2 linked regions of the Caenorhabditis elegans genome follow. The protein of the gene in region 1 interacts with the protein of each later gene in a pairwise test. Each region holds a gene or a part of one and is shown on either strand. Other genes may lie near its edges.

Region 1 (14,855 bases):
TCGATCGGTCACCCTTATAGGACAAGCAACTCTACTTTCATCAAAATAACGATCATCACCATGTCTTGAAACATGTAGAGCATGAACTGGTCAGGTATGGATGGATGGTTCTCCTTCACCCACCGTATTCTCCAGACATTGTCCTATCTGAATACTAGTCGTTTTCAAATATAACTCGTGTCCTCTGAGGGAGAGCCTTCAATACCCACGGAAGTGTCAAAATGGCACTCAAGCATTATTTCGACTTGCGCCTGGAAGGGTTCTATAAGTAGAGCATTCATAAGTTGTCCACGCGTTGGCAGTATATTGTTGATAATGATAGCAAATATAATTTATCCTGTCGTTTCTCTTGCTTCGAGAAATAAACGATTGAAAAAGTTATAAAGACTTCCGGTTCAACCTAATATTTAAAATTTAGGTTGCCCTAACAAAAATATTTTGTGGTCATATCGTTAATATAAAGGTCTATTCCTTTCTCCGTCTCGCTCTGTTCGAAGAATCGGTTCATTCTCACACGATTCTACGTTTTCTATAGAAACCATGTTATCTCCAGAACTAATTTTAGATGGGTTCTCTATCATCCCCTTCCACGTCAATTTCAACAACCAGCTCTCCCAAGTTAATATCGGAAAAGTGTTTGGTATGCGATCAACCTTCTCATGGAAATCATTTTGGAGTTGATAGCTGTAGAGCTTGTGCTGCCTTTTTTCGAAGAGTTTTTGTTACTCATAAGCAGCAATACAAATGTATAAATGAACTGGAGCAGTGTGTTCCCGATGCTCGTGGACGGTGGAAATGCAGGAAATGTCGAACCGATAGGTGTTTTGAGCTTGGAATGAGGCCCGATAGTGAGAATATATTTATTTTTAAATTTAACATTGGTTTTATTCAGATATTCAGTACAATCGAGACATGTTTTCCTGTACAGGAGAATTTCCAAAACAAGTTATTTACAAGTCAACTCGAATCATTCCATCAAAACCAGAATGCATTACGTATTTCGACTTTTCATCTTTACTTGAATCAGTCGAGAACATTTTATCAGAGGTTAGAATTGTTTAATTTTGTTTTTAAATATGATTGTTTTAGACAACACCTAAATGTGTTCCATTTCAATGTCAGACTCCTCTTCAACGTCTTGCATTTGGATTGAAAGAAATCAGAAAAACACAACTTTGGGATAATATCCCAGTTATCAACTGTATTGGAAAAGAAGAAACGTTCGAAAATTGGAAAGTACAAATAGAACGAACAACTACATGGTTATCTTATATGGATCAATACCGAGATTTGAACTTCGATGACAAAGTGAGACCTTTTTTTTTTTTGAAAAATCGTTTTGAATCAATTAATTTTTAGATGACAATAGTTCAGTGCATGTGGTTTCCATTCGCAAGATTAGAAAGATGTGGAATGACTGCGAAGCTTCGAAAGGCAAATAAATGCCAGAAAAATGTAACTAGCCATTATTTGAACAATTGAAAATTACTTCAACTTTTCTGGTATTTTTAAGGATTATGCGTTCAAATCGGACAGTCTTGTGAATACTCAGACTGTCAAATTTGATTTCGATTGGCTCTCACACCTCTCCAATGCTCAAATGAAGGCATTTTTAGGCGATCCTTCCGAAATGTTATGTGAAGGGCTAACAGAGTGCATGATGGAAATACAGCCCACAGATGAAGAACTTTGTTATATTCTTTGTGAACTATGTTTTCATCATCTTGGAAGAAAATTAGGTGGTCCGATGCAAGAAACCATGGAACGATTTCTAAAAATACTCTCCGACAACTTGCACGTCTACTATTTTGAACAAGATAGAATGTCACGATATTCGCATAGACTTTTGAAAATTTTAAAGATAAACGAAAAGTATAAAGTAAGTTGCATTGGTACAGCAATGACATATAAATTGTTGAGTTTCAGACCATAATGGGGGAAAAACGAAAGATAGTCTTTCTTGGATACCTATTTGATGCCTTTCGAATTAAGTATTCTCATCCGGATTTCTTTCGATTTCAAAGCTTTGAATAAAGTACATGAACTTTTTAAATTCATTGCGGAAAATAAATGTCTTGAATTAGATGAGCTGGTTGAAATGTGCGATTATAAACCTAAATGATGTGTTTTCACGCATGATCTCCGTTTACTTTCATGTGTTTGCCCTGTGATTTTTACCTACAAACCATAAAATGACGTCTTCTCCCTGCCTAATTCAATTGAATTAATGTCTTCAGACAGATTTTCTTCATTTGGATCTCCGTCAATCTTAACGAAATTTTAAAGTTCACCAGTCTTTTATAGTACATTATTAGAAGCTTATTACAAATGTTTCTTTCTCTGTATCTCTTTAACGTTGCAGCGGCACGGGAAATCAAACATTTCCAACGCGTATCGTAAATACTACTATTGATTTTCCGCCGTTTTATTTTCCGCCACAACACTATTGAGAATTCGGGGTTGTCCAAACACGGGGTATCATAAGGTCATCTCCCGAATTGAGGAGGTTAATCTTGTCTCCGCGTGGCCTTGTTGCACTTCTGTGTGTATGTTGGTAACCAAGGTGTCGGTCTTCATGGCAACCTCCATTCTCACACGACTTTCCGTATTTTTATGAAAATTCAGTTATACTTTTGAACTTTCAGATGGATTCTATATCATCACCTTCCACATCATCTTCAGCATCTAGTACTCCTAAATTAATATCCGAAAAGTGTTTGGTATGTTTCCAACCCTCTCATGGAAATCATTTTGGAGTTGACAGCTGTAGAGCTTGTGCTGCTTTCTTCAGGTAATAAGTAGTATTTATGGTGTGCAATTAGTTAATTGTCAATTTTTAGAAGGGTATTTGTCACTCATAAGCAACAATTTCCATGTCGAGAAGGAGATAACAAGTGTACTCCGGATGAGTGGGGAAGGTATTTGAAAAATTTCACATATTTGATTGAATTACAATTATTTTAGATGGAGTTGCAAGCGATGTAGATCTGATAAATGTTTTGCCCTTGGAATGAAGCCAGACAGTGAGATTTTGAACATTTCAGCTTTACAAAACTAAACATCTTCAATTTTCAGACATTCAAAGGGATCGAGATAGATTTATATTTTCTGATAATTTTCGTGATGACAGAAAAAGGAAGACATCTGAATCAATTGTTCCATTGGTAAGTTATTATTGATTTCTATCACGGTTTTTCAAAAATGAAAACAACACTTGGGAATATGAAAACTTATTCATGTTATTTGTTATTCAGTCTGTCGAACGATTCGTGGGAAAACAACTTGTGACAACATACACGTCAACTGGATCCGGAAAGAACATTGAATATATCACATTTTTCGATCTTACACCAATCATTAAAGATGCTGATTATATTCTCAAAAGGGTATGTTTTAAATAATATATTCGGTGATAAAATAAGATGCATGTGTGTTTATACGTAAATTATAATTTTTGGTACATTTTGGGTTACTTTGTTGGGTTACTGTAGTAGCCTGTTTTTTTTAAAAGAATTTCAAGACCCTTCGAAAATAAAGCTGGGCTGGTGATGATATGTTTATCCGGAAAACTGTACTGTTAAAAAATAAATACTGCAGAGGTATTGTCCAACATCGAGAGAAGTTCTCAACAGAAATATTTTCTAATCTTACATATTCCAGATTCCAAAATTGGAAAAATCGGTTAAGGTGAAGAGTTCATTGGAACAACTAGCCTTTGGATTACAGGAAGTAAGAAAAGAGCAATTATTTGAAAGTGTTCCTGAACTGAGAAAAATTGGAAAAATGGAAACATGGGACAACTGGGTAAAGGGAATGAGAAGAGCTGGTGAATGGATTATGCACTTTGAAGAGTTTCGACAATTGGAACAGGAGGAAAAGGTTTTTGAAAGAGAAAGTAGATTTCAATTAATAGAGTATAATTTTCAGATGGTGATATTGAAATGTATGTGGCATCTGTTTATTCGTCTAGAGAGAATTTCAATGACAGCCGAGATGCGGAGAATGAAGCTTTGTGATGATAAAGTAAGAGTTATAATTTTGAAAAAATGATATCAAAAATTTCCACTACATGTGTGTGGCCAGTTACCATTGATTGAAACATTTGAAAGTTGAAATTTTTTGGATATGGAATTTAGAATTTTTTGGAATTATGACAATTGGTTATGTTGGACTATTTTAAGTATATTTAAAGCTTTGTAAGTTTTATGTTTTCAGGAATTTATATACGGAACAGAGCAAAGAATTAACTACGATACTCTGGAAATTGATCGTGATTGGTTTTCTGAAGCAACTGATAGAGAAGTACGAAGGTAAGTATTTTTCCAGTTTGTTTCAGTTACTCAATACTAATTTCAGCTTCATCGGTCCCCTTCCGCGATGGTTTTGTGAGACAATAATTGATGCATTAATGGAATTACGCCCAAGTGATGTAGAACTGTCATTTATGCTCTGTAATTTATGTTTCCATTTGACTGGCCAAAAATTGGGAGGAAGAATTCAAGAAATAACTGATCGTCTTCAAGATGTTCTGGCCAACGATCTTCATAAATACTATCTCGCAAAGGATAAATATTCTAGATACTCATACAGATTGACCAAATTGTTAAGCTTGAATCGGCAATATAAGGTGAGTTCAAAAAATTATCTTTTCAAATCATATTTATAATACTTGGAATTTTTCAGAATGATTTGGAAATCAGGCGACAGGGAATCTTCTTGGCCAATACACTTAACATTTTTCGTGTGAAATTGTCTCATCCTGAAATGTTTCAGTTTTCTTGCTAATGCATGTGATTAGATTATCTTGATCATCATAATATGTATTTATATAAACTTTTTTGAAAAAAATGAGGAAATTTATAATTTACCCGTTTTGATGAAAACAAGACAGAATGTGGAAAGTGAACAAGCAAACTTGGTGGGCACGAAATGAGGCAAAATTATAACTATTAACGAATTGAAAAGGGAATAATTAACCAAATTAAATTCAACAATTAAAACTCGAATTCTTTCCCAGCATGGCAATATATCGTGCGGATTTTATCTTTCGCTGGCTGGAAGTTTGCTTGAAGTGATAATGTAGAGTAGTAGAAGTTTAGAGCTCTCTGATAATCTCCAATTGACGCATAGATGTTGCCAAGTGTGAAATGGATGGCGACTAGACGAGGAGAAGCACTGAGAGCAGCACCGGCAGAGATCAGAGCAGAGTTGAAGAGACCAGCTTGGTGGCAGATGTTGGCCAGGGACACCAAAGCAACGTCTCTCATGTGTGGTGGAGCAGTATGAAGAGCACATCGGAGGCATCCAATTGCATTTTCAGCATTTCCAGTGACTCTCCAGTAGAGGGAAGAAAGTACACAGAGTACCCAACTGACATGACCATCCTCTGAAAAATTAATGTTATGAATAAGAAAAACTTACTGTTTAATAAACATACTAGCATTACTGTGAAGCATGGCAGCGTGAAGTCGAGCAGCTACATGTTCGATAGTATCTCTTTCATTGCCAAGTGATTTCAGAGCTTCAGCAAGAGCCTTCTCCGGTTGGTAGAACAAGAACTGGTCGCTAAGAGCAAAAGCAGGAATATGACCAAGTCCAAGAAGGGGTGAGTTTTTGTATTTATCCATATTAGGGCAGATTGGTTGAAGAGAAGCCATTGCAGGCATTGGTCCACGTAAATCAACATATTTTTCAATATCTTCTCCTTTGGCGGTTAACGATACCCAAGTGGATGGAGCATTTTCGAACATTGCTTCGGGTTTGGCCACTCCGTTACAAGACATAGTTGCCACACGTGGTGGAGGGAAAAGTGAAACTCCACGTCGAATTTGATGAATTGATGGTTTTGGCAGCTCAGATGGTAATTTGGCGTCGTACTGAATCATCATTGACTTTTCTCGAATCCACAGGTAGGAAAGAGGTTTTCCCGGAATTTCAGCTAGATCTGACTCCCACGATTCTTCCCATGAATCAACTTCTTTTTCTTTTTTCGTCGGAAGTATATACTTCATCTCATTTGTGGCACTGTCCCACCATTCTGCAGGTCTATCCGTGAAAAATGAGTTCCATCCACCATAATCAAGAGGCATTTCAGTACTTTCAACTGTTTGAATTCCATCTACTTGATTAACCCAATTGGTGACATCATTCCGTGGAGTAATAGTGTTGAAAACGAGTAAAAATGGTGAGACGATGCTCGCATAATCTGCCGTTTTCTTACTGAAACCATCATAGAATCCGTTGCATCGATGATAGACTAGTTGTGGTGATGCATCCGGAATGTTCGATGACTCAACGATGTAGCACTGTTCTTCGGAATCTTTTCGTGGCTGAAATTCCAATTTATAAATTAAAGGATATATTATTAAATTGAATTTACCCTGATGCAAACTGCATTCTGAACAACTGGCGAGCAGCATACTGTAGGGAACTGTGATGATATGGCAGATTTTGTAGACTTTCCACTGCATGCAATTTTGAGAAGATCTTCTTGGATTACCAGATTATTCGGATCTTTATCCATTGCATCTTTAAGATGCTGAATCGCTTTGTCCACATCGTGAAGCAGAAGCTTCATACGTCCTTGTACATAATGGAAAAGTGGTTCACTGTAGCCAAGAAGATTGAGCTGTTGATTCAGAAACCCGTGTGCGTCATTGACCATTCTAGTTGATTTGAGCATAACTTGAGCAAGTTGAACAATCGAAACAAATGATTCTTCAGGTTTGTCAAGGAACGCACCAAGAAGACATTTTGTAGCCTGATGTGGATTTCCTTGAATCCTCCAGTAGAGACCTGCCAAGTTCAGAGAAACCCATCTTGGACCGATGGTCTAAAATTAAGGTGATTTCAATAAAAATGAAAAGCGGATTCAGAACTTACATGTTTCATCAAAAGTTGAATTCTTGCAGCCATTTCATGTTCTTCGATGACACGATCTGCTAGACGGACAAATGTCGTTTTCAAAGTTTTTTCAGCATAGCCTTCGGATTTTCGATCAAATCTTGGATTCAGGAGTCGCTCAATCGCTTCAAACTGAAAAAGGTGTATATAAAGATAAATTAATCTTAATAAAAACTCACTCCACTAAAAACTCGAAGATCGTCCATTTTTACAAAATCACATCTTGGTTCAAACCATGGAAGAGGAAGAGAATCGGCTGATTGAAGTCCAATGTGAGTTGTCAACAGTTCGGAGACACTAAAATTCAGCATATTTGATGGAAGCAGTGTATATAATGAACTTACAGCCATCCTCGATTTTCTGGTGAAATAAAAACTTGAGGGAAAGTATTGATTCGGAACGGATTGGATGACGACACTACAGCTTGACAATCCACGGAATTCGGCCAATCTGCTCGTCTCCAAAATCGATCCACACTTTCATCGATTCTAAAAAATAGTTTTTTTTTTTTAATCTTATCAGTTTTTAACTTTGATAAAGTGTTTAATGTTTGTGAAAACGAACTCTTTATTAGTGAAGCGGGGTTCTATCATTCTGAAGTATCCATCCTGCTGACTATTTCTTGAAATATCGAACAATGTCTTCTCAAATGCTCGATTTGGAGGATACACTTCTGTAACTTTCCACGAAGTTTCATTGATCGCCGGACGATTTCGTAAAGTTTTCTCTCGCAGCGGCGCCATTGATTCCTCGTATTTTTCAGGAGTACAGGATAGCTGAAATACGAATATGATCTACTTCGGATAACAAGTATAGAAAACACTCACCGAGCAAATCATCGTGGTTGCCCAGTTCAGTTTATGATTTGTGGCAGGGAATCTATTAATCTGCGCTCTCTGGCATTTTCGATCTGAAAACTTTTTTTGTGATTTCTTAACATAACTCAAATTTAATACTAACGGGGATGTGCACCATATTTGATTTGATCATAGAAAAGTAGACTATTAGCTCGTGCTTCTGCTGATGGCATCAGTGATAAAATATTTGAGTTCATCTCAACTCGTTTATTGTATGATTCTTGAAAATTTGTTTTCTCAACGACTAGCTCTTCAAGGTTCTTTTTCTGTTTTTCAAGAGCTGAATACAGCCTCAAATGACATGAAATTACAGAAGCTTTTGATTCAACAGAATCAAAAGATTGATCGAAAAGTTCTCCATCCTTTTGATTGTGTTCTTTTTTTGCAGCCTGAAAAAAGTATATATTCTGGAACAAAAATGAGAATAAAAATTGATACCTTGAAATCACTTGCTGCTTTTGCATAATTGTAGAAAGTGTTGCTGAACATGCTTTTTCGCTCTTTATTCGTCAATTTCAATTGAATTGATATTTGTTCGGTATCATAGTCGATAGCTGATTCCGGACCAGTTAGAACTGAAGCATCTCCAGTTGCTGCATGCATCATTCCGCTATAACATGCCACAGTGTTAGTAGAAGTGAGTTGCTGAAAAAGGATTTCATATATAATACTTTTAGATGGATCTGAGCTTACTTTAAGAATAATATGAGCTTCTACAGAGTATCCGGCTCTATTCAGAAGAGTTGCGATAGACAATCTGATAGTATGTTCTGCATGTGATGGATGGAATGCACCGATGTGGGGTGCTCGATTTTCGTCGTTTCTGAAATGTTTTAATGTAATTTTTACAGATTTTCCTTGCTTAAACATACACAAAATGTATCCCTGTTGCATAGCACGTGAACGCATCTGAAATCTTTCCTTGAGCTCTCCAGTAGGCAGCAGCTGCCATATGAAGATAGGCATTGCGAGATACTCTCTGAAATTTCTAGTTTTATTAAATCGCATTGTTAATTATTAATCCAAACCTCATCAGCGTGACTCAGCATACTTGACAACATATTTCCGAAGCGAGACATTCCTTCGGATCCTCGCGTGAATTTGGCGAATCCTGGGAAGTACAAGTCAAGAACTTTCAGATACATGTCGTCATCAGCGTCATACTTATCTTGTAAGCTTTTTCCAAGGTCCTGAAATAATATTGGATTCGTTGTTAAAGTATGAAACAACTTACCACATTATTCTGACCCTTCATCTTGACTGCTTCAAACCAATAATTACATCTAGGCGGTCGTTTATCACTGTCCGGTGGTGATCCAAAGTATTCTTTGACAAATGCAGTATATTGTTGATATGACTCATGGAACTCGGGACACAGTTCCGCGGTGAAAGACGTGTGGAAACTGTCGGATTGCAGTCGTATTCCACGCGATTTTCTGGAAATATAGGAAATTTAATATTGAACAATTTTGCCCAAAAATGAGTTTTATACTGATGATAATTTACCAAAAACTAACTTATCTAAATTAAATATTTTTAATTACCGTTATTTAAAATTACTCACACACATGCTTCTTCTTGTCGCCTAAAGTCTTCTTCAAACTTTGGATTATCGAAATTCTCGTGGTTTTTTATTTTTCCCATCGATCCATGCAGCTCATTTGCCTGCCGATCGACGACTTTTACATTTTCCACTTGAGTTATGAAGTCGGTCAACGATCCCGGTAATTTTAGATGGTACCTCGTGTCGGGCTGAAAATTTTTGGTTCAAATAGTTTTATTTAAAAAAAATTAACTAACAACTGCCTGGATTTTCTTTCCATCTTCACTAATTTTCCAGTGATATGCTGATAGAACTACATCATTGTTGAGAATGAGAAGTGTGAAAAGCCATGCGAAGAATTTCCGATTCATCGGCCCGACCCGACGGACCTTTTTCTCTGTAAAATTTGAGATATTTAATTTGAATAAGTAAAAATCAATAAAGAGATCTAAGCGTGACGTCAGAATCTGTAGTTTTGAGAATACGGTGCGAAAAACGGCAAAAGAGAACACGCGTCATTCGGATTAGGGAATATGAGAAGAAGCCGAAAAGAAAGAGAAGCTGGGATGGTGGCGAGATTTGAATGAAGAAAACGGGACGATGTAGATGACAGAGAAGACGATATAAATTGATGTCAAAAAGAGATAGAGAGAGAGAAGACAGTGTACATACAATAGAGGGAACAGACGATAAAAAGGTGTTGGACTGGGTGAGATTTGGGTGACAAAAATGAATTGAATTTTTTTTTGTTGAAAATTATATGAAATGAAGAGAACGGTAAAATTCGTTCGTTCAAAATGTGTCATGTAGAAGAAGAGGAAACGACAGGATAAGGAAATGAAATAAACGAGACTGTCGAATGAGCGATGGTGGAAGACGTAAAAAACGATGAATCGGGGCAAGGCCATGACGACAGACGAAGAGACATAGACAACACCATACATGCATCCAATTACGCGCAACTAGGATAGTTGTTAATATTGTTTCACGTTGATTCCATTTGGATCTTTGTAAATACCTAGAATTCTTCTTTCACAAATTTCATATTTAACAAACCATTTTCTCTCCATGTTCGTTATTCATAATTCAAGATACTCGAGCAGTTTGATTAAGTAGTAACACATATTTTTTAATAGGTAATAAGACATGATTTTAAATTGTTTATTCACAAAGGCATATCCATGTTTGTCTCTCTGGACACTGCCAATACAATACTAATCAATGAACTAATGAAAATAAATCCAGTCAATGGAAGACTTTTTGATTTGGAGCAAAAAAAGGGTGGGAGGGAAAAGTGAAGAGGAATAACCGCGTTTAAATTAAACAAATGAGAAAAAAAAGTGATAAAGGCGGAAATAGTAATCTCTCTTTTCTCTACATATGAACATATGTAGAGCAATGAGAGATATTATAAATGAAAAAAAGAGAAATAGTTATTAAAACTACACACACACAAATAAAATAAACATGAGAAAAATGACCTAAATGGGGAGAATGAGACCGGTGATCATCGAAAAGTTTGGTTAAAATAATAAAGAACAATTAGGTAGGTGGAAAATTGAGCGGTTGGAAGAAAACACTCGGAATCGTTTGGAAATAAAGTGAAAAGGGTAATGAGAAATTCGAGAAAAAAATCAATGAATCTCGAATCGACTATTGATATATTTACAAGTAATGATCGAATCGTGATGATATGTGGAGAACTTGCTCCTGGGAGAAAATGGGGCCGAATAGTACTAGAAGGGGAGTAAATGAGAAATATTTTCAAAATGAAAAAGAAAAGCGCATAAGATAATGAGAACCGTGCGGAGAAAAGTGATGGAAAAAGTAGGATAACACAGAGATTTGTTTTTTCGATAAGAGTCAATTTCGAAAAGAACTCCAGACAAAATGGGTCGAAATTGAAACCATCTTAATTGGATAGCGAAAAATCACAAAAGTTGGGGATAATTTGCTTTGGATATCATACAGGTTGGAGATTGATTGACGATAGTACATGTTGTGATACAAGTCTTTTGATTATAAATTTAAGATGGTGGGGTTGTCAGTCGGCGAATGGCAGCATCGAGGTCACTTTGGCTCACCTAAATGTCAGATAATTGTTTTAAAAGTATAAAAGAGCTTCCACAAACCTGAGGAACTGCAATTCTTTGCATCAACTCTTCGATTAACTCATTACAGATTCCAGGACAAGAATCTTCAACATCTCGAAAAACGTGTCTCAATTGATCGAGAGCAGCAGTCGCATGACGTGTTCGAGACAAATGTTCGATTGCCGGAAGAAGACTACAATCGAGGGCACCTTTCACACGAGGCATTGGAACATTATTAGCTTCTCTTGATGGTGGTGGCGCTCCGTACCCGTACATTCTACCATGATTCAGATTTTCTTGTGACGATGTCGGAACATGGCTTTCACGATAATCAAGTCTACCACCGGACCCTCCTGGTCCACGTTGTCGCACGGCATCCGAATATTCAGAATGATTCTGATTAGAACTATTTCCATTTAATCCAGATCCAGATCCATTGATGTATTCTCGACGACCACCACTTCCACCTTGCACACCATTGCTCGATGATGTCCTGTGTTGGTTATATTTCGACGGGGATACTTGCGATGATACCCGTTCGCTCATAGGTCGATTTCCACGTTCAAGTTCCCAAGATTGGGCAGAACCGGATCGTTGTCCACTTGGTGATACCATGGATTGTGTTCTTGCAAGTGAAGATGTTGGACTTCCATTTGGACTTCCAAGCGTGATGGTAGTAGCACCTCCAGATGAAGCTGTATGAGATTGAGGCAATGATGATGTTGCATATTGAGACGATGCCGAGTTTCCGCCTGATCCATAACCAGAGGAGCCAACCGAAGAATTTCGAAGCTGTTCGGCAACTGCAGCAACTTGTGGACTTCCCTAAAATCAGTTATTTTTTTAAAAAAGAGTATAGAAAAAAAGATCGCTTAATTTTAATAGATACAGTAATTTCATCAGTATGAATGAATTATTTTTTAAAAAAATGAAAAATGGTCTCCCCAGGAATATCTTTTTGTCGTTTTTTTTGAAAATCGTAAATCCAAAAAAGTTCTTCTAGTTTTTGTTCTAGTCAGGTATGCTTAAAATTGAATACTGTGGGGCTTCTAACATGCGATAGCGCTTTAATTTTCTTAACAACAGGGCGACATCAATTTGCATTGCTTTTTGTCAGTAAATAAGAACATTAGTTTTTTTGAACTATAATATTTTATCATTTCGGCAGAAATAAAATTAAAATATTTTCAAAAGTGTAATACTCACTCTAACTATGGTACCACCCGGAGATCCACTAGGCGATCTTCGATCAACTTGAGCTCTTGGCCTATCAGTCCTTTGTCGTACAGTCCCATCATCATCTGCTGAAACACGTGGCCCGCGGACCGTTGGATAATCCCATTTACTTGTTCCACCTCCGCCATCAGAATCTTCGTCTAAATCACTGTCACTTGAAACTCCCGTCCTCAACCTGAAGAAAAATAGGAAATTTTCAGAAAATGTGAAAATGGGTCAATAAATTACCGATATTCGGCTGCTCGTTCGATGAGATCTACCAGAATACTATTCTTCTTGGCTCGTTTGATAAATTGATGTTTAAGAAGAGTGCTTGCGGATGGTCTCTGCAAGAATCAAAAAAATTAAAAATTAACTTCACCAAACATTTGAACACCTACATTTTCAGGATCCTTATTCAGACACATTTCAACAAACTCTTTAAATGGTTTCGACCACTGACTTCCTTGTAATACTGGAGGTGGATTTTTCGGGATCAAGAATAATACACGCATTGGATGAAGATCAGAATGCGGAGGTTCACCATTTGCCAGTTCAATTGCTGTGATTCCTAATGACCAGATATCAGCCTGAATTGCATATTTTAGATTGTGATATGGTTGAAATAAGAAGTATGGTGAATGAGAAAATTACAGAAAAGTTTAGATGTTCTAACTTCGGAAAATCAGGATTTTTGATCGAGAAAGGCTCCTTCGAACTTCAACTTGATTTATTCTGGCTTTAATTTGTTTTTATTCAAAGAATTTTGGAATAATTGAAAAATCAGTGAAACTTCGAAAAGGTTGACAGAAAATAATTTCTTTAACAATAAATTTAACCAAAAAATACCTTATTATATTCCAAAGTTTCACTATACTTTCCCGTAATTTTTTCATTCACGATACTAATCGAACCAGGGTGAATTTACATAGGAAACATAAAAGGAAGAAAGCTTTACCTTATAGTCGTAACTTGATTGTTTAATGAGCTCGGGGGCCATCCAAAACGGCGATCCGACAAATGTGATACGTTTTTTGACAGTTTCAGTCAATTGTCCAGCAACTCCAAAATCGGCGACCTTCACATCACCGTGCTCACTTACAAGTACATTTGCAGCTGAAAACAGAACAAAAGGTGAACAAAAGGGTTGTAATACAATAGGTGATTATGATTTCCCGGGAAACAGATTAAGCACTAGATATCAATCACAAAAGACGACAATATGTGGGGAAAGAGGACATCATTTGAAAGTACCTCAATACTATATTCGCCTTTAACCACTTCAGGAGCCATAAAAAACGGAGTTCCCACAAAAGTATTCGCTTTCAAAACTGTGTCGAGTGGTTTTGCCACACCATAATCACAAATTTTTACAGCCGCTGTTTGACGGTCCAACAAAACGTTGGCTCCTGAATCCCAAACATAGAATAAATTGAAATAAAAACCATTTAAAAATGTTCGAATTTTTATTTAATTTGGAAATTATTTTAAACTAAAAAAGCTCACCTTTAATATCTCTGTGGATTTTTCTTTCACTATGCAGATACTCGAGACCTTTCAAAATTTCGCGAAGAATCACAGCGATATGACTTTCGTCCAGCTTTCCACTTTTAGTTAAATCGAGCGCTGAGCCTCCACCGAGGTATTCCATAATGATCCATAATTTTGATCCCTGAAAAATAGAAAAAATTGTAAGACATGGTATTTAAAATGGTAAACTCTAGTGAATTAACGAGGAACATGCTGAGCCAAAATAATGATAACTCAAATTTGGAAACGAAATTACTTTAATTGAATTTTTCATGAAAAATTGTTGTGATTGTGACTATAAATTGATTACTTTTCAAATTGCTAAAGTTTATCAATATAAATAGAACTAAAGCTGCTCTAATTTATTTTGCTCGTGTAATTGAAAAAAAAACTCAAATAGGTGCTCAAAAATGTTTCAGATTGGTTTTATTATCTTTTTTTTGTTGTATTTCTTAAAAAATTTTCAAAAATAAAACAGAAACAATTTAGATTTTTTAAAGTTTCATTTATAAAAAAAATACCTTGAGAAAGCTGCCAAAATATTTGGTGACATACTGTGAATCACATTGACTGAGCACTTGAATTTCCTGTTGAATATCTTCAATTTCATCTTCTGCTTGTTCAAGATCAATGATTTTTATGGCAACAACTCGTCCAGTTCGATTGTCAATACCCTTATAAACCTCGCCGAAAGAGCCGCGACCAATGCGCTCT
Region 2 (15,655 bases), on another chromosome or scaffold:
ATTATTTTTTAAAATTTTATCTTATCAATTTAGAAATGAAAACATTCAAAAAAATTCCTAACCAGACCCAACTTCTGGCCATGGAGCGCGCTTGAAACTCGATTTCAAGTGTTTTTTTTTTGAAACTTGCCTTAATCTGTTCTTCTTTCATTGACAATTGATAAAATGATTCCGAAAGTTTCTTCTCAGCTTCAGCCATTTGAGTGAGAACATGACTGAAATTTTTCGCGGCGGCAACGACGAGACCATAACGTCGATGAATATCCTTTAGAACTTCGCATTGTGCCTCGAACTCTGGATCTACAGTTTTATCAATTTTGCCCATATGCTCCAGCAATTGTTGTTTCGAGTTTTTAAACGTTCCAATTGTCCATTTCTTGAAAGACTCAACTTTTGCAGCAACTTGCGCCGTATCGATGCTGAAAATTTAATTAATTTATAATATTAAATAAGTTTACTGAGTTATAAATACTGAAATTATCTAACCGAGGGCATTTTTCCAATGGACGTTTCGAAACTGGCGTAGTAAGTGGTTGGCGGTTTTGCCTATACAGTTTAATACTATTTTTCTTCGACAGAAGACCCATTGAAAGTCAGAAAAAAGATTAGGTCGAAAAAATAAATGTAGAAAATGTAGAGAGGAGGGGCAAGCTTAGGTAAGTGAGGATGAGATGTACAGAGTAAATATTGAAAAAAGACGGGTTTTTAATCTACCGGTAGCCAAAGGTAAACAAGACAAGAAGAAGAGCCAAGATAACATATGTCAAAGTACCAAAAAACTTTATTATTACAGGAATGCAGAAAACTGAGCCATTTGAAATTGATGCTCTAGAGTTAAATGAAAATGCTCCGCCTTTAAACGTTGGGTCTCGTTAGGTATTGGCGGCAAAACGAGAAATTCGAACGTTTTCAATTATTCTTGCCGGTTTCGTAGATTTTCGAGCATTTTTGTACTTGTTTTCATTTTAAAAAAACATTAAAAGCAACGGGAAAAGTTAGAAAAAACGACGAACAATGCTTGAAAACGCTCGAATCTACGGTTTTGCCGCCAATTCCTGAAAACTTACTGCATCATAATGAATACCAAAACAGAAGATTCGCGCTCAAAAATGTCGAAATAAAACATTTCAAAAATATTTTTGACTTTTACGTGTACTCGGAAAAAGCGTGAAAAATAATTTCTTTCCGTTTTTAATACTTACTTGGCCACAACATCAGGAACTTTTATTCCAGTTGGTATTCTGCTCATTGTTTCCGTCGAATCAGAAGTTGGTGACGAGTCTTGAAAACAAAAATATCGATTCATTCTCAAGTATTTATTAAATTTATTCTTGAGGAATAAATATTTAAATGCTATTTAACGAAAATGAAAAAAAATGCATTTCACGTGAAAACGTGCATGGCTGTGTGGCAAATTTTTTCGGAAAAAGTAGGAAAGTGCTTATTTAGAATATGACAATACACGGATTACCATGATTTCACATTAAAAGCAGTTTTGTAAATATGTTCGCCGAAAAATCTTGCCGCACATCCCTAAACACGTGGCAAACGAACCGTTTTGCGTCACCGGTGCGAACGGTGAATCGGCGGGCGGTGCAGATGGCTCAGGAGGTGAAGCCGTTGAGCCCGTCATCATCTGAAACAGTCGCTATGACAACTAAAGAAGAATGACTTCGAATATACGAATTTGGCTAGCTACCAGGTAGATTAGGAGTGGAATGAGTAGGAAAAACAGTAAAAACTATTAAGATTTATTTTCATTAACAGTTTAAAAGATCTGATGTATTTACAACGAAACAGATTCGGGAAAAGAAAACAAACAGAAAATAACAAAACAATAACCGGATGAAAGTGGAGATTTGACAAAAAGAAATCATGATTGTGAAGGAATTATATACCTAGGAAAAAGCCATTTCACAAGAATCACGTTGACATGTAAACCGGTGTAAGGCACTTTGAAATGGGAAAAAAAGTTGAGCAAATAGTTGAGAAAACCAAAATAATGAAAGAAACAGACCAGTTGAAAGTGATTTTTTCTCCGCAAATTTCAAAACAATATATACATTTCTCAGGAAAAGAGAAGAAGCCACGTTTTCCTGATCTCATTTTTTTTATCTTGTCTCGCATCTATCGAATAAAGTGAGGAAGCGAAGAAGAGCGAAGGCGGATAATTATTGACCAGCGGCAAGGAATAGGGCACTAGCAGTGAAGGAAGCCTAGATATTTTGGGGAAAAGAAACAGAAAAGAGACAATGTACAAATTGATAATAAAAAAAACTGTGTTCAACTGATACTACACGGCTTTCCATCATCCTTAAACGGATTCCTTTTTGGTGAATTACCGTTTGGACGCTCCGTTGGTGATAGATTTCCACGCGAGATTTCTATCTCACGGAGAAGCAATTCGAACACCTCATGCACTCGATTCTGAAAATTGGAAGGATGAAGCAACGTGTCGAAACCTGTAGGAACACGTTGACTAAGAGAGGTGCAGACGCTTTCCCTTTTTTTATTCGGAGATAGAAGAGAGAAGAGAGGTTGCAGAAAAAAGAAAAATTGCGAAATAAATATGGGAGGGACACATATTAGACGCAAAAATGAACACACTATGTTCGCAGTTTTCCATTTTCCGGCAGAAATCTTATTACCGATCCGTAGAATGTTTATTGGATGATTTTTTCATAGATCTCATTTAATCTAAACTTTTTATTTCATAAATAAGTTTAAAATTTCTAAAAAGTTTTATATGTATTCGTAGTTTACATTTAAATTTTCACAATTTAAAAGTATGTAGTACTCTTTTTTCTAAAAAAAATTCAACTCACCGATTCTCTGGCCGTGATCTCGACAAACTTCGCATCCCATTGTCTAGCAAGTTCTTCACCTTCTTCTGCTCGAACGACCCTTTGCGTGCTGAGATCCGTCTTGTTTCCAACAATTACAATTGGAATGCTGGAAATTCTTGATTTTTGACTGCAATTTTACTTTCTGCTCAAATACCTTGTGTCACCATAGGTTCTTACGATTTTTTCATAGATGTTGCTGCACATTTCGAATCTGAATTTATAAATCTAAATAAAACAAATAAAGAAAAAACGGAAGTCTTACGATTTTCTATCATCGATTGCATAAACAAGTATAAATCCATTAATATCAAGGGAACAACTTCTCGGGAAAACTGTGTATTCTTGTTGTCCTGCTGTGTCTGGAAATATCTAATATCAGTTTTCAGTAAGCTCAAAAAATGATAAAATTTACCAGTGACTCTTAAATGATAGTCCCTGTGAAACGCTGCTATGTGCTTCGAATGTTGATCCTCAATTGTTGATTCATACCTTTCAGGGAAAATATTTTGTGTGAAACGAAGTACCAACGCCGATTTTCCTGTAAAGTTTCTCAACGTGAATGTCCTTGTTTAAATAAAGTTGTTTTAATTTTTTCATTGCTTTGTTCAATTTTGCTCCCGGTATGTTTGATTTTCTACAAAAAAAAGTTGTCGTAAACGCTCACCAACATGAGGATATCCCATAACGGCCACTTTTCGATTCAGACTCTGACGATTTGATTGCAGCGAACTGCTCATCTTCACAAAAATGAGTATATTCTGAATATTGAATGATTGAGTTTTGATAGAAGTATAAAAAATTAATAAATAAAATAAAAAGGGAAAAGTAAAAAAATTATTTTTTTAAACACTCATCATTATTTTTAAATTCTCTATTAATATTTAACATGTAGAAACAAAGAAATGATGTACTTTTGCAATAATATGCGCTTTTTTCCTGATAAAACGAACTAAAAACCAACTGTAAATAGAGAATTGCAGGCGAGAGAGCGTGTGAAAATAAGAGACGGAGGCGCATGATACACTTCTTGGCAGCAAGCCAAACCCACCGTACCCAAGCAAACCTGCAGATCAAACTCGAGATCGATATTTCTGGCGCAAAACGGCCGCCAATTTGAGCCCTCCGCGTTGAAAGCGTTATTATCATTCGAAATTGGCATAGGTCTTATCAAGAATTATATTTTATGTTTGTACGGGCAGATATAATCTTTTTATCATCATTTTTGTTGTTCAATTAACCTCCGCAAACTTTTAAAAACTCAAAAACATTTTCCTCTGAAGTGTTTTCTTGTTTTCCCCGAATTTTGATGAGTCCTATTTTATTTATTTGTATCAATTTCAGTGAAACGAACCGTGTTTAAGTGTAGAATATGGGCGGACCAGAAAAAAACAGCACAGTACCACTGCCAAATAAGAAAAGGAAGAAGAAGACCAATAAGAAAAAGGTGAGCATTTTTCGGTTTCTGTTCAGAAGTTTTCCCTTTTTCTAAACACTTACACTTTCGAAAAATTAAAGCTCAGTCTGTTCTGACACTAAATCGAACCCAAAGAATACTCTTTTTTTCTAATGGCCTCTAGAGATTTGAAAACTTCAAACAGCTCTGTCGCATTCCCTTCATTTCACGCACTTCCGAGCTTACTCTCTTGGATGCGAGCCCTCCACTAATATATTCTCACATCAGTTTTAACTTAGATTTCTCCTTTGCCTCAAGTAAAATGAGAACGGCTTCATTATGAGCCAGTGGCAGCCGCTAATGACCCAGGGGTAGAGATAACCACTAATTTTCTTTTCTTACACTAGTTTTAAAACAAAACAAAGTGAAAATTTATGAGCATGCTTAGTATTTTGCATTCAATACATTGGCTATATCGCCGATTGAATGTGAGTTTAATAGAATTCTGCCATTAAGCTTTTTTAATCTTCATATTTCAGCCCACAGCACCAAACACGCCTACATCTCCTCAAGCGGGTGAGAAAAACGCAAATTTGAAAAATGGAACAGTTACAACAAACGGATCAAATCACGTGGAAAGGTGAGATTTTGAGTTTTTTTTTTTAATATGCTTTAATTACATCGCTGAAACCGGGACCAAAATGATTATAAGTTGTTTGGTGTAATCGTTGCATCGTCCTTTTCTCATGACAGCAACTGGTTGTCTTTTCACTTCGTCTCAAATGATCCCACCTTCGTGTGTCCGTCATCCATCCACCCATCCATCCATTCGTCCCTTCTTTTCTATCTTCTCTATTCCTTCACCTTGGCCTTTTCTCTCTGTCAGCTGTCTCCTCTTCGCGACCTGGCCGACAAGTTGAAGATTGAAACAAGGAAGAGAGACCCAGGATTTCCTCTATCTCTTGTTGGGCGCCGCAATCATTACATCACTATCACTTGAACACTCTTCCTTCTCACACCGATCGCGTTTTCTTCAAGTCGCTCCTCGCGCCTCGTTGGCCGCCGCCAATATTCTCGAGACACTTCTCGCGCCGCTGATCTTCCTTATCCCCCTTCCCACTCTCAAAGCGTCGCAACTCGCTTCTACGTGGTCGCTATTTCAAAAAAAATCGCCTGCTTTTGAATCCAGTTTTCTTCTGTCAGGCTGGCCGGTCGAGCAGTACATTCGCTCTCAGCTATCGATTACTCGGGTATAACAAATGATGTCGAAGCAGGCGGCTCCTTCAGCTTAACTGACGTTTTCCCCACTGTCATATTCATGTTTGTGGTTCTATTCTGTAGATGGCTCAATGGCTTCAGCCAGCATCGAGAACGACTTTATAAATTCGAAGATGAAGCCGTTCAGAGACGCCGCCGTTTTCGTGTTCATTCAGAGGAATCGGAAGAACTGAATGACCACGAATCGTATTCTGAAACTGATATTTGTACACAGCTTTTGGCATCATCTGCAGACGTAACCTGTCATATAAATGTTGATTTGGTCAACCAGAATCGATTTTATTTCTTTGTAAAGCAAAGAAATAAAAAAGAAAATTCGACCAATGAAGAAGAAGAAATCTCTTCCCAAGAAATAAATACGAGTACACAAAATGAAGAGACAGAAGTTAATTTAGTGTTCGCTAGTGCGGAAGATAATGGAGGCGTCGCGTCGAATTTCGATATATCAGACGCTCTAATGGTTACCTCTAACATTTCCGAAGTCAGTAAACTACCGGAAACGTTGTGCGAAGAGGGTGAAACTGTACAACAAAAAAGTGTTGTAAATGAGAATGATCATTCGAATGAGGACGATGAACAGTCGCTACAATCACAAGATGGTTCAAGATGCTCTGATGAAGACATGAACTCTTGCGTATCTGCCTCAGATGAAGAGGACGTTGAATCTCAAGATGATTCTTTTCATGTGAATGATGCTACCGAAGAATCAATTGATTCGGTAAGCTCTATTGAATCACAAGAAGCAGAAGAGTCAGCAACTGAAGATTTGGCGTCGTGTCATTCGAACGACGATAAAAATGAAAAAGATGTTCTTGTCGATGAGGACACATCCAAATACGATAACCTTCCGGTGGAAATGCGGTCAGCAAAAGAGGGTGAAGAGAGTGAAGGGACGATCGATTCTTCAGTCTCCTCGTCGACATCGTCTTCCTCAACGGGCGACGACGGGGACGACAGTGCTACCTCTTACGACTCAGAAGATATCGAAATTCAGATGTTCGAGTATGATCTGGGAACCGCATGCGCTTCAGCTTCTATTTCTATTCCTCGTCCATCTATAATTCCAAGAAATAACAAAAAGTAACATTTATTTTCCATTAACTAAATTAGTATTACTAATATCAATCAGAAACTGTCTTTTAATTTACATTTTTCAGGACCGAAGTCAATGCTAATGAAGAGCGTTTGGACGATTTAAGTGTGAGCCCCGGACGAAGTGATTCTCCTGGAGGCGGCGGTGGTGGACATTCAGATTCATTCCAAGATCCAATGGTGAGTTGATTTTTGCATTTCATTTTTTTGTATTTATACATATTTATTTTCAGGATCCTGGAGAACAACTTGGATCTGACGATGAAGAACAAGAAGATCCACGTGATTACAAACGAGGTGGATATCATCCAGTCAACATTGGTGATGTATTCAATGCGAGATATCATGTGATTCGTAAACTTGGATGGGGTCACTTTTCTACGGTTTGGCTGGCGTGGGACACTCAAGACAAACGATTTGTTGCCATGAAAATAGTGAAGTCAGCGGAGCATTACACGGAAGCGGCTCTTGATGAAATTAAGGTTAGTTTTGAAGTAACGTAGTGCTGAAACAATAGATTTTTATGCAACATTCTCTGAGACTCGAGAAAAAAAAATTAAGACTAATATAAAACGAGAATAATTTCAGTTGTTGCTATCCGTACGAAGTGCTGATCCAAATGACATCGGATGCCACAAGGTTGTTCAATTGCTCGATGAATTCACTGTTACGGGAATTAATGGTCAGCACGTTGCTATGGTGTTTGAAGTTCTTGGGTGCAATCTGTTAAAGCTGATTATACGCTCAAATTATCGAGGACTTCATCTGGAACAAGTTAGGAAAATATGCAGACAAGTTCTGGAGGCGTTAGGATATATGCATGAAAAGTGCGGCATCATTCATACTGATATTAAACCTGAAAATGTGCTAATCACGATGAGCCGAGAAGAGATCAAGGTATTTTTTAAAAACCATTAATTGTGGAATTAATTTTTCAAAATTTTACAGATTATGGCTCAACATGCTGTAGTTGCCCGGAAGATGAATATGAAAATGAGTGGATCGGCTGTCAGTACTGCACCGGATCATTTGGTGAAAATGGCTCAGGAGAATATGACGAAAAACAAGAAGAAAAAGATGAAGAAGAAGGCCAAAAAACAACGAGAGAAGTTGGAAGCGGAATTGGCTGGACTCGAAGGCCTCAAAATGGACGCTAATGGGCTGCAGGAGGCATACAATAATGCACCGGTAAGTTGAACACTATACCGTTCTTCTTCTAATAGTATTGCACCCCAATACTTGAATTTTTAAATTTGAAAGAATATATCTCTGTTCATTTCAAAGATATCATTTCACATTTTAATTTTGAAACGATAGAAAAAGAAATAAAAAAGTATTTTCTTAGTTGACAAACATTGGAAAAGTTTCGATGTGCAATAATAATAGAGGAAATACGCTGGTAATTTTTAAAAAATCAAGATTATACTCTATCAATCATAATTTTTTAAAAAACGAAACAAAAACGATAAAACTGATATATAGCAAAATGGTGTCCGAATGCGTCCTCCATCTTTGCTCTTCAATGGTCCGATTCCCCAACTGCTTCAAGGCAGTTCTTGTGTGAATACGCCATCGTCTCCAAGAACGGTTCCACCGCCACCACCATCTCTCTATCCACAGGTTGGATGCGTCTGCAATCAGACGTATCATCTGACACAGGTGATCCTGAATGCGAATGTTGGTGTGAGTGTTTGGTTGTGTTGACATGATGATGGTTCCCTTCTACTCTCTCTTCCTCGATTCACACACTTATTTCCACTCTGCAACCAAAATTACCGGAAGACGCTTGTATATTCACACGTACCTCATTTCTCCTTCCGTTTCTTTATTTTAAAATTCACTGACTATTTAGTTTCGGTTTTTTTTGCCGCTGCGCCCTGGATGCCGTCTGCATTTTTTCGTCGTTTCGTCTTTGTTGCAGAAAATACATCAGTGCTGTATCTAATTTTTATCATATATAAGCTTAAACATGTTGTGAATTCAGTTTAGAAAAAAATCTGAATCAATTAATTTAATTTTTATTTTTTCAGGAGTTGGAGAACTTCAACGCTTCACAAGTGGAAGATGTCACCATGGAAGATACTGTCAATGAAAATGGAAACAGAAACAAGGTATGATATATTTCATTTTTGTAGCCACAACCATTTATATTTTCAGGTGGAAATCAGGAGCCCTGATCGTTTCGATAGAACCACGCTGACTCCATTCAGTGATCCGGAGAGCAAGTTTGGAGATTTGGCCTCACCATCCGCCGAATATCTGAGCTCGCCCATGAGCCAGTTGCCTCCAGGTGGTATCCTGCCTGCTCCTCCAGTTGGCCCCAACATTGGTGATCCATATTGTGACATCGACGTCAAAATCGCTGATCTCGGAAACGCGTGTTGGGTGAATCATCACTACACGGACGATATTCAAACTCGTCAGTATAGAGCACTTGAAGTGTTGATCGGTTCAGGATACGGACCTCCAGCTGATATTTGGAGTACCGCGTGTATGGCTTTTGAATTGGCAACCGGTGACTATTTGTTTGAACCACACCAAGGAGATAACTATTCACGCGATGAAGATCATCTTGCGCACATTTCCGAACTTCTTGGAGCAATTCCACCGTCAATTTACAAAAAGGGTAAACATTGGAGAGAGTTCTTCCACAAAAATGGACACTTACTTCACATTCACCAACTTAAACCATGGTCACTATACGAGGTTTTGAGACAAAAATACGAGTGGTCTCATGAAGACGCGCAGCAGTTTGAAAGTTTCCTTCGTCCGATGCTTGATTTCGATCAGGAGAAACGATCTACGGCCAAAATTGCATTGAAACATCCGTTCTTGTTACCATTTGGAGGAAGAGCGCCAAAATCTGATTGTCCACCTGAGGTTTTATATTAATTGTCTGTTCAATATTTTCTCTATAATTTTTACAGCTTCTGAGCAAGATGTTTCCGGATGGATTGATTCCCGAGCCGTTCGACGGAAATGAGCATCAGGAAGTTTACCGTGACGAAAATGATAGTAGATCGGCGAGGTTCGTAAGCTCGGACCGACGCGGATGTAAACGCAAATTGCAGCGAGAGGAGTGCCAATAGCAGGTCTGCGGGCGGCAGCGACGACGACGACGAGGAGGAGTTCAACATGAATCGACCTGGTCCATCGGGGGTGATAACAAACAATGAAACGACCGACATTTCTGACATTGAACGCTTTCAGCTGGATTTGCAGTAGTGCACGAATCCCTCCTGTTTGTTAACACTTCCATCACCGTCTCGTCACTCTTCAACGCCCTCTTGCACATCTCCCGAGTTAAACATGTTCTCCTGTCAATTTGACGATATTCATCTTTATGTTTTTCCTTTTTTCAATCAAATTTTACTCGTTTCTTGCCTACGATAGGTGAAAAGAAAACACTTCGGGCTAATTTTTTTTTTCAGCATTTTCCAATCTTTTGTTCCAGAGTGTTTACTTTTATGTTTTGAATCTAGACAGTGTTTAACTTATTGTTTCGGATTTCAACAATCATCCGACTACTTCATCTCCCCATTCTCCCTGTCACTTTCTACATCGAATCACCGCATCCTTTCTCTTTTTTACCACCGTTCTTCCTGAAGTGACTGAGCAGTAAGCACGTTTAGCGCCACTCTCGTGCGCGTCTCGTTGAAGCGCCTTTTGATCTTTAGTGCTACTGGTATAATATAATTATTTTGTACGAACATCGTCCTTATCCTCTGCCCAACAACATCATATGCTTCTATCAGCCTCAAACAGTAGATCATCTTTTCCCCCCATTTCTTTTTCATTTATATTCCTCCGTCTGTTCACATACCCAAACTATTTGGCATAAACCTTTCTCAAATCTTTACTGTGCTTCATTGCTTCCTTTCCCCTTCTCTCTCTCTCATTATCTCGGTTTCCTCGTAGACATAAATGATTGAATTTTGTAACGTTAGCGAGATAAAAAATAATTGATTCATGTGGGTGGTCGTCGAGAGATCGTAACAAAAGAACAACAAAACAAAGCGGGAGAAAATAAAAACCTGTTAAAGGATACGATAATAAACATCATATAAAAACTTGAATTGAATTTTTCACGCCAGGACGTATGTCATGTTAATTCCTGATGGTCCGATTGAGGTCTGATCCAGATATCCATGATTTTCATGTTTCACAAAATGAATAAATTGAGCGATAGCACGGAAGAGATTGGGTGATTGACGGAGAACGTTGCACTTAATTGCATATCCATTTTCATCAATGTGCACAAATTCAGCGTGTGGAGGAGATTTTGTAACCTGAAAAAACATTTCTTGAAGTGAGGAGGAACAAGAGTGAATTATTATAAGCCATACCATGTGAAGATAGAAACTGAATGGAGTACGTTGAGCAGATGATGGTTTTTGAGCATTTTTGACACAGAATCGGCTGGTGAATGGCTGGTCAAGGCTGAAAATTGATTTAATTTTTAACACAATTTATTGAATTAAACGTTAAAACAGGATTATAAAAGTATACTTTTTTCAGATTAACTGAAATCTAATATATTCCAGAAAACAATTACTAACCGACTATCTCCAACGAGACAATTGGAATTGAGTTGAGCATCCATATAAGCCAGAAAAATGTCGAATACGAGAACTGCATCAGTTGGCAACGAATCATTCCATTCACGGCGAACAAGACGTGTCATTTGATCGTTATCATCGGTTGGCTCTGAACCACCCGAATTCCATTTGTATGCATCCATAAATTGAGTGGCACAAAGCTCTTTGATTCGACTGATCAGATATTTTTGATTTGGATGGACACTGAGGAATGGAAGAAGGAATGGAAGATCTGAAGATTTGAGAGAATCTCTTTCAATTGCTGCAAGTTTCAGAGCATCAACAGAAGATACTCCAACACGAAGTGGAGGATTTGCATGCTCTTTATCGAGTATTTTATTGACTTTATCAATGTGTTCGGCCAATGGTTCGAGAATTGTGTTGCGAATCCAGGCTCTAGTCATAAACTCGGCTCTTTTCTGCTGATCTTCCGTTAATAATTCTCCAGTTTGGTATCTGATTTCATTTTCAGTACTAGTAGATCGTTCAGGTGAACTATGAGATCTACGCCGACTACGAATCCCGGCACGATCGATTGAATTGCTTCGTTTCAGAATTCCAGTCTTTCCTTCGGGAGTTAACTTCGCCGCATTCAGTATTTTATGCAAACGGACAAGTTCGTCTTCATCCTCTTCCTCGATCTCTCCATCTTTGCCACGTCTCAACATTTTTACTTCCGTTCTTCCATTTTTACCAATTTTCATTCGGTATGCTGAAAAATAATACAAATTTGATGATTTAAAGCATAGTTTGTTGGTGGAGTGACGGACTCAAAATTTCCCAAACCAACCAAATTTTGTAATGAAAAATCTTGAAAATTTCACAATTTTTTTTTGAAATGGTGGACCGAAGATGCAACTTACATGAGTTAGTATTCCCATCATTCGTGATTTCCTCAGAAACCTGCCAAGTGTTATTCGCACTTATCTGACCACTGCGTCCTAAACCAAATACACTCCAAATGGAAGAAAATGTAGAAGTATTCATATCGACTGGAATCTCATCCTGATTAGATCGGAGAAGCACATCAAGCTGTTTTCTTGTATGAATCGATTCATTAGATTTTCCATAAACTGCCGGGCTTTTCCATCCCCCTTTGGTATCCTCCAGAATTCCCGAAGTGTCTGAGACTGAAACATTTGACATCACTTGTGAATATGAAGGTGACTTCTTGTTTGGAGAAGGAGATTGTTGAAGTTGGCTTGATTTGAATGATGGAGTACCGAAACGGTGAGCATCAACCCAAGAAAGGTCATTGCTTTGTACACTTGTGTCGAGCACATTCTGAGCATCGGGCACTATTGGTGTACTTTTTGATGATTCTGGACGTGGTGGTTTTGATTGAACTTTGTTGTAAACCAGCTCTGAAAAACGATAGAATAAGTTTTTTTAGAATAACTGAAAATCTTACGCTTCAGGGCATTCGGGAATTTGATCTCAAACGCGTACGATGCAATCATAATCAATGAATAAATTATGACGAATAGTGAAATACTAGAATTTACGTAGGAGGGAAAGAATCCGAAAAGAAGAATTGCAGAGGTAAACGATGAATTGAGCACCAAATGCTGAAACAAACTGGTTAATAAAAATTAATAGTTTCATCTCTTACATCAATAGAGAAGCCAGTTAAGAGAATGATGTGCCATTTGATCCTGGTTTCCAGCATTGTTATTCTCGATTGTTCTAGTCTCTGATTATCATTCACATATCTGCTCTTGCACACTGGGGACATTTTGTCTTCAAATGCTGACCGGTTTGATGCCTGTGATGTGTTGAGTAATGAATAGTCTGCATTTTGACTTTTCAGTCGTTCGCGGAGTGAATCCGCAGTCATTGTGAACCTGTAACACACTAGAGTTGATGTAAAGCTTGCGATTAGATTAATATTTATATTAAAACAACAAATTAGTGAGAAAAATCACAGAAAAAACATTTTCGAGGGAGTTTTCGATAAAATATTTTCGAATCTTTTTGTCCTCGTGTACTACGAGCGCGTTGGCCTAGAAAACGCATGTCAGCATTTTCTAGGCCATTTCGGAGATTTTTAATAATTTTATTTTTTTGGCTCAATTTTAATAAATATAGCTTTCTATTTAATTGTCTTAAATATTTAAATATATTAATTTACAGATCACCATGTCCGACGATAAATTAGACACTCTTCCGGATCTTCAATCGGAAACGTCACATGTCACAACTCCTCACAGGGTACATTAATAGTGAAAATTAACAAGATGATGTTTTATTAAATATCAATTTCAGCAAAATGATCTTCTTCGTCAAGCGGTCACTCATGGAAGGCCACCACCAGTTCCGAGCACATCAACTTCTGGAAAGAAACGAGAAATGTCTGAACTACCGTGGTCAGATTTTTTTGATGAAAAGAAGGACGCAAACATTGATGGAGATGTTTTCAATGTGTACATAAAGGGAAATGAAGGTCCAATTTTCTATTTGCTTCACGGTGGAGGTTATTCAGGCCTCACATGGGCGTGTTTTGCGGTATGTTTTGTTCTATTCTAGTGTCAGTCATTAATGGTTCTGTTCAGAAAGAATTGGCAACTTTAATATCATGCAGAGTTGTTGCACCTGATTTAAGAGGACACGGCGACACTAAATGTTCTGATGAGCACGATCTTTCGAAAGAAACCCAAATAAAGTGAGGTTTCGCTTTGATAAGTTTTGTAACTTCTATCGACATATTGTAGAGATATTGGAGCAATCTTCAAGAACATTTTCGGCGAAGACGATTCACCAGTATGCATTGTTGGACACAGTATGGGTGGTGCATTGGCCATTCATACATTGAATGCAAAGATGATTTCTTCAAAAGTCGCTGCACTCATTGTCATTGATGTTGTCGAAGGTTCCGCTATGGAAGCACTTGGAGGAATGGTTCATTTTTTACATTCAAGGCCTTCTTCATTTCCTTCTATCGAAAAAGCCATTCACTGGTGCCTTTCTTCGGGTACAGCGAGGAATCCCACAGCTGCACGGGTCTCAATGCCGTCTCAAATTAGAGAAGTATCGGAACACGAGTACACTTGGCGAATTGATTTAACAACAACAGAACAGTACTGGAAAGGATGGTTTGAAGGATTATCCAAAGAATTTTTGGGATGTTCCGTTCCGAAGATGCTTGTTCTAGCGGGCGTTGATCGGCTGGACAGGGATCTCACAATTGGTCAAATGCAGGGAAAGTTTCAGACTTGTGTGTTACCAAAAGTTGGACATTGTGTTCAGGTAAATGTTATACTCAATTAATAATTTATATAAATTGTCTTGCAGGAAGATAGCCCACAAAATCTTGCAGATGAAGTCGGAAGATTCGCTTGCCGCCATAGAATTGCCCAACCGAAATTCTCAGCCCTTGCATCACCACCAGATCCAGCGATTCTCGAATACAGAAAACGTCATCACCAATAATTGCTCATTTTGTTTTCCAATATTTTCACAACATTTCTATACAAGTTAAGAAAAAAATATTTTATATGAAAAGATTATCGATTAAATTTCCCGTCTTTTTAGTTCTTGGGAATAATAAATGTCAGCGACATACGAATGAATCGATTATTTTAGAGGAGAGGCAGATGCCAAAAAATTACAGTCAAAAAGAAGTATTCGTGAAAGAGTGCGCAAATCGAGAGACGCAGACAGAATGCAAACGCGCTCCGCTGAACTGTGGCCGCCAAGCGTTTCGTTTAAAAGGGAGCGTTGTCTATTTTCCTATCTATTCTTGCCAGTTTTATTTTATTTCGCAACTATCTTTTTACTACGATTTTCGAAAATATTTTCAAATTCAAGAATGTAATTATTTTGTGTTTCAGAAACCATGTCGACTTCTGTTAAGCATCGTGAGTTCGTCGGAGAGCCAATGGGCGACAAAGAAGTCACATGCATCGCCGGGATCGGGCCAACATATGGCACCAAGCTCACCGATGCAGGCTTCGATAAAGTATGTAGATTTTTTTTTCTCAAATTTTCGATCAATGTTAAAATTTGAATTTCAGGCCTACGTACTGTTCGGACAGTATCTCCTTCTGAAGAAAGACGAGGATTTGTTTATCGAATGGCTGAAAGAGACGGCTGGAGTGACTGCAAATCACGCGAAGACGGCGTTCAATTGTTTGAACGAGTGGGCAGATCAGTTCATGTAAACTGCTCAATATTTCTGCTAAGCATCGATTTGATTCTCCTCTATAATCATCAATGGCCATATTTGCACTTCGAAAAACACCATTTGTTCCAGTGTAGTCGTTTTCCGCTTTGCGACTATGCCCCATTTCAAATTAATCTGTTTCTGAAATATTTCTCATACTTCCAAGTTTTCCCCCTTGTCGTGTGGTCTTGGACTACGGTTCTTGTTTTGTTTTTGACTTTAATTTTGCGATTTTTCTCCCTCCAAATAAAATATTTTCTACGATCCTGAAGAGTGTTTCTAAGTT

Evidence for each region.
Region 2: the proteins of ttc-17 (region 1) and spk-1 interact in a two-hybrid assay, tested with the Caenorhabditis elegans proteins (one large-scale study listed by BioGRID).

What each region holds. Positions count from the first base shown.
Region 1 is NC_003283.11:8,951,890-8,966,744, reverse strand, and holds ttc-17 (TPR_REGION domain-containing protein), read right to left. Parts: upstream 9,701-14,855; 5' UTR 9,675-9,700; coding exon 9,561-9,674; intron 9,513-9,560; coding exon 9,325-9,512; intron 9,197-9,324; coding exon 8,995-9,196; intron 8,951-8,994; coding exon 8,789-8,950; intron 8,740-8,788; coding exon 8,633-8,739; intron 8,584-8,632; coding exon 8,454-8,583; intron 8,406-8,453; coding exon 8,199-8,405; intron 8,150-8,198; coding exon 7,864-8,149; intron 7,814-7,863; coding exon 7,731-7,813; intron 7,680-7,730; coding exon 7,468-7,679; intron 7,392-7,467; coding exon 7,248-7,391; intron 7,201-7,247; coding exon 7,083-7,200; intron 7,036-7,082; coding exon 6,883-7,035; intron 6,833-6,882; coding exon 6,380-6,832; intron 6,330-6,379; coding exon 5,438-6,329; intron 5,387-5,437; coding exon 4,995-5,386; 3' UTR 4,810-4,994; downstream 1-4,809. Other genes in the region: nhr-219 (Nuclear Hormone Receptor family), read left to right, coding at 566-848, 893-1,047, 1,090-1,308, 1,360-1,455, 1,514-1,879, 1,927-2,034; Nuclear hormone receptor family member nhr-44, read left to right, coding at 2,646-2,791, 2,841-2,918, 2,965-3,023, 3,076-3,164, 3,255-3,386, 3,661-3,879, 3,928-4,023, 4,216-4,310 and 2 more; gck-1 (Germinal center kinase 1), read right to left, coding at 11,331-11,387, 11,436-12,221, 12,603-12,807, 12,861-12,958, 13,013-13,201, 13,570-13,727, 14,118-14,283, 14,663-14,855.
Region 2 is NC_003281.10:9,452,427-9,468,081, forward strand, and holds spk-1 (Serine/threonine-protein kinase spk-1), read left to right. Parts: upstream 1-5,101; 5' UTR 5,102-5,557; coding exon 5,558-6,597; intron 6,598-6,674; coding exon 6,675-6,789; intron 6,790-6,842; coding exon 6,843-7,091; intron 7,092-7,197; coding exon 7,198-7,506; intron 7,507-7,557; coding exon 7,558-7,797; intron 7,798-8,091; coding exon of another isoform or gene 8,092-8,268; intron 8,269-8,639; coding exon 8,640-8,720; intron 8,721-8,766; coding exon 8,767-9,489; intron 9,490-9,536; coding exon 9,537-9,637; intron 9,638-9,680; coding exon 9,681-9,834; 3' UTR 9,835-10,581; downstream 10,582-15,655. Other genes in the region: F54C8.7 (AH domain-containing protein), read right to left, coding at 131-419, 1,203-1,281, 1,555-1,633; rheb-1 (GTP-binding protein Rheb homolog 1), read right to left, coding at 2,284-2,427, 2,826-2,952, 3,001-3,057, 3,109-3,205, 3,259-3,384, 3,511-3,583; B0464.6 (uncharacterized protein), read right to left, coding at 10,695-10,898, 10,956-11,049, 11,169-11,919, 12,071-12,571, 12,619-12,775, 12,820-13,044; B0464.9 (putative protein phosphatase methylesterase 1), read left to right, coding at 13,347-13,418, 13,473-13,712, 13,760-13,869, 13,919-14,453, 14,499-14,636; baf-1 (Barrier-to-autointegration factor 1), read left to right, coding at 15,043-15,165, 15,221-15,367. UniProt on the Caenorhabditis elegans protein: Required for embryogenesis and germline development in both adult hermaphrodites and males. SR-protein kinase (SRPK) that binds directly to and phosphorylates the RS domain of rsp-3/CeSF2 in vitro.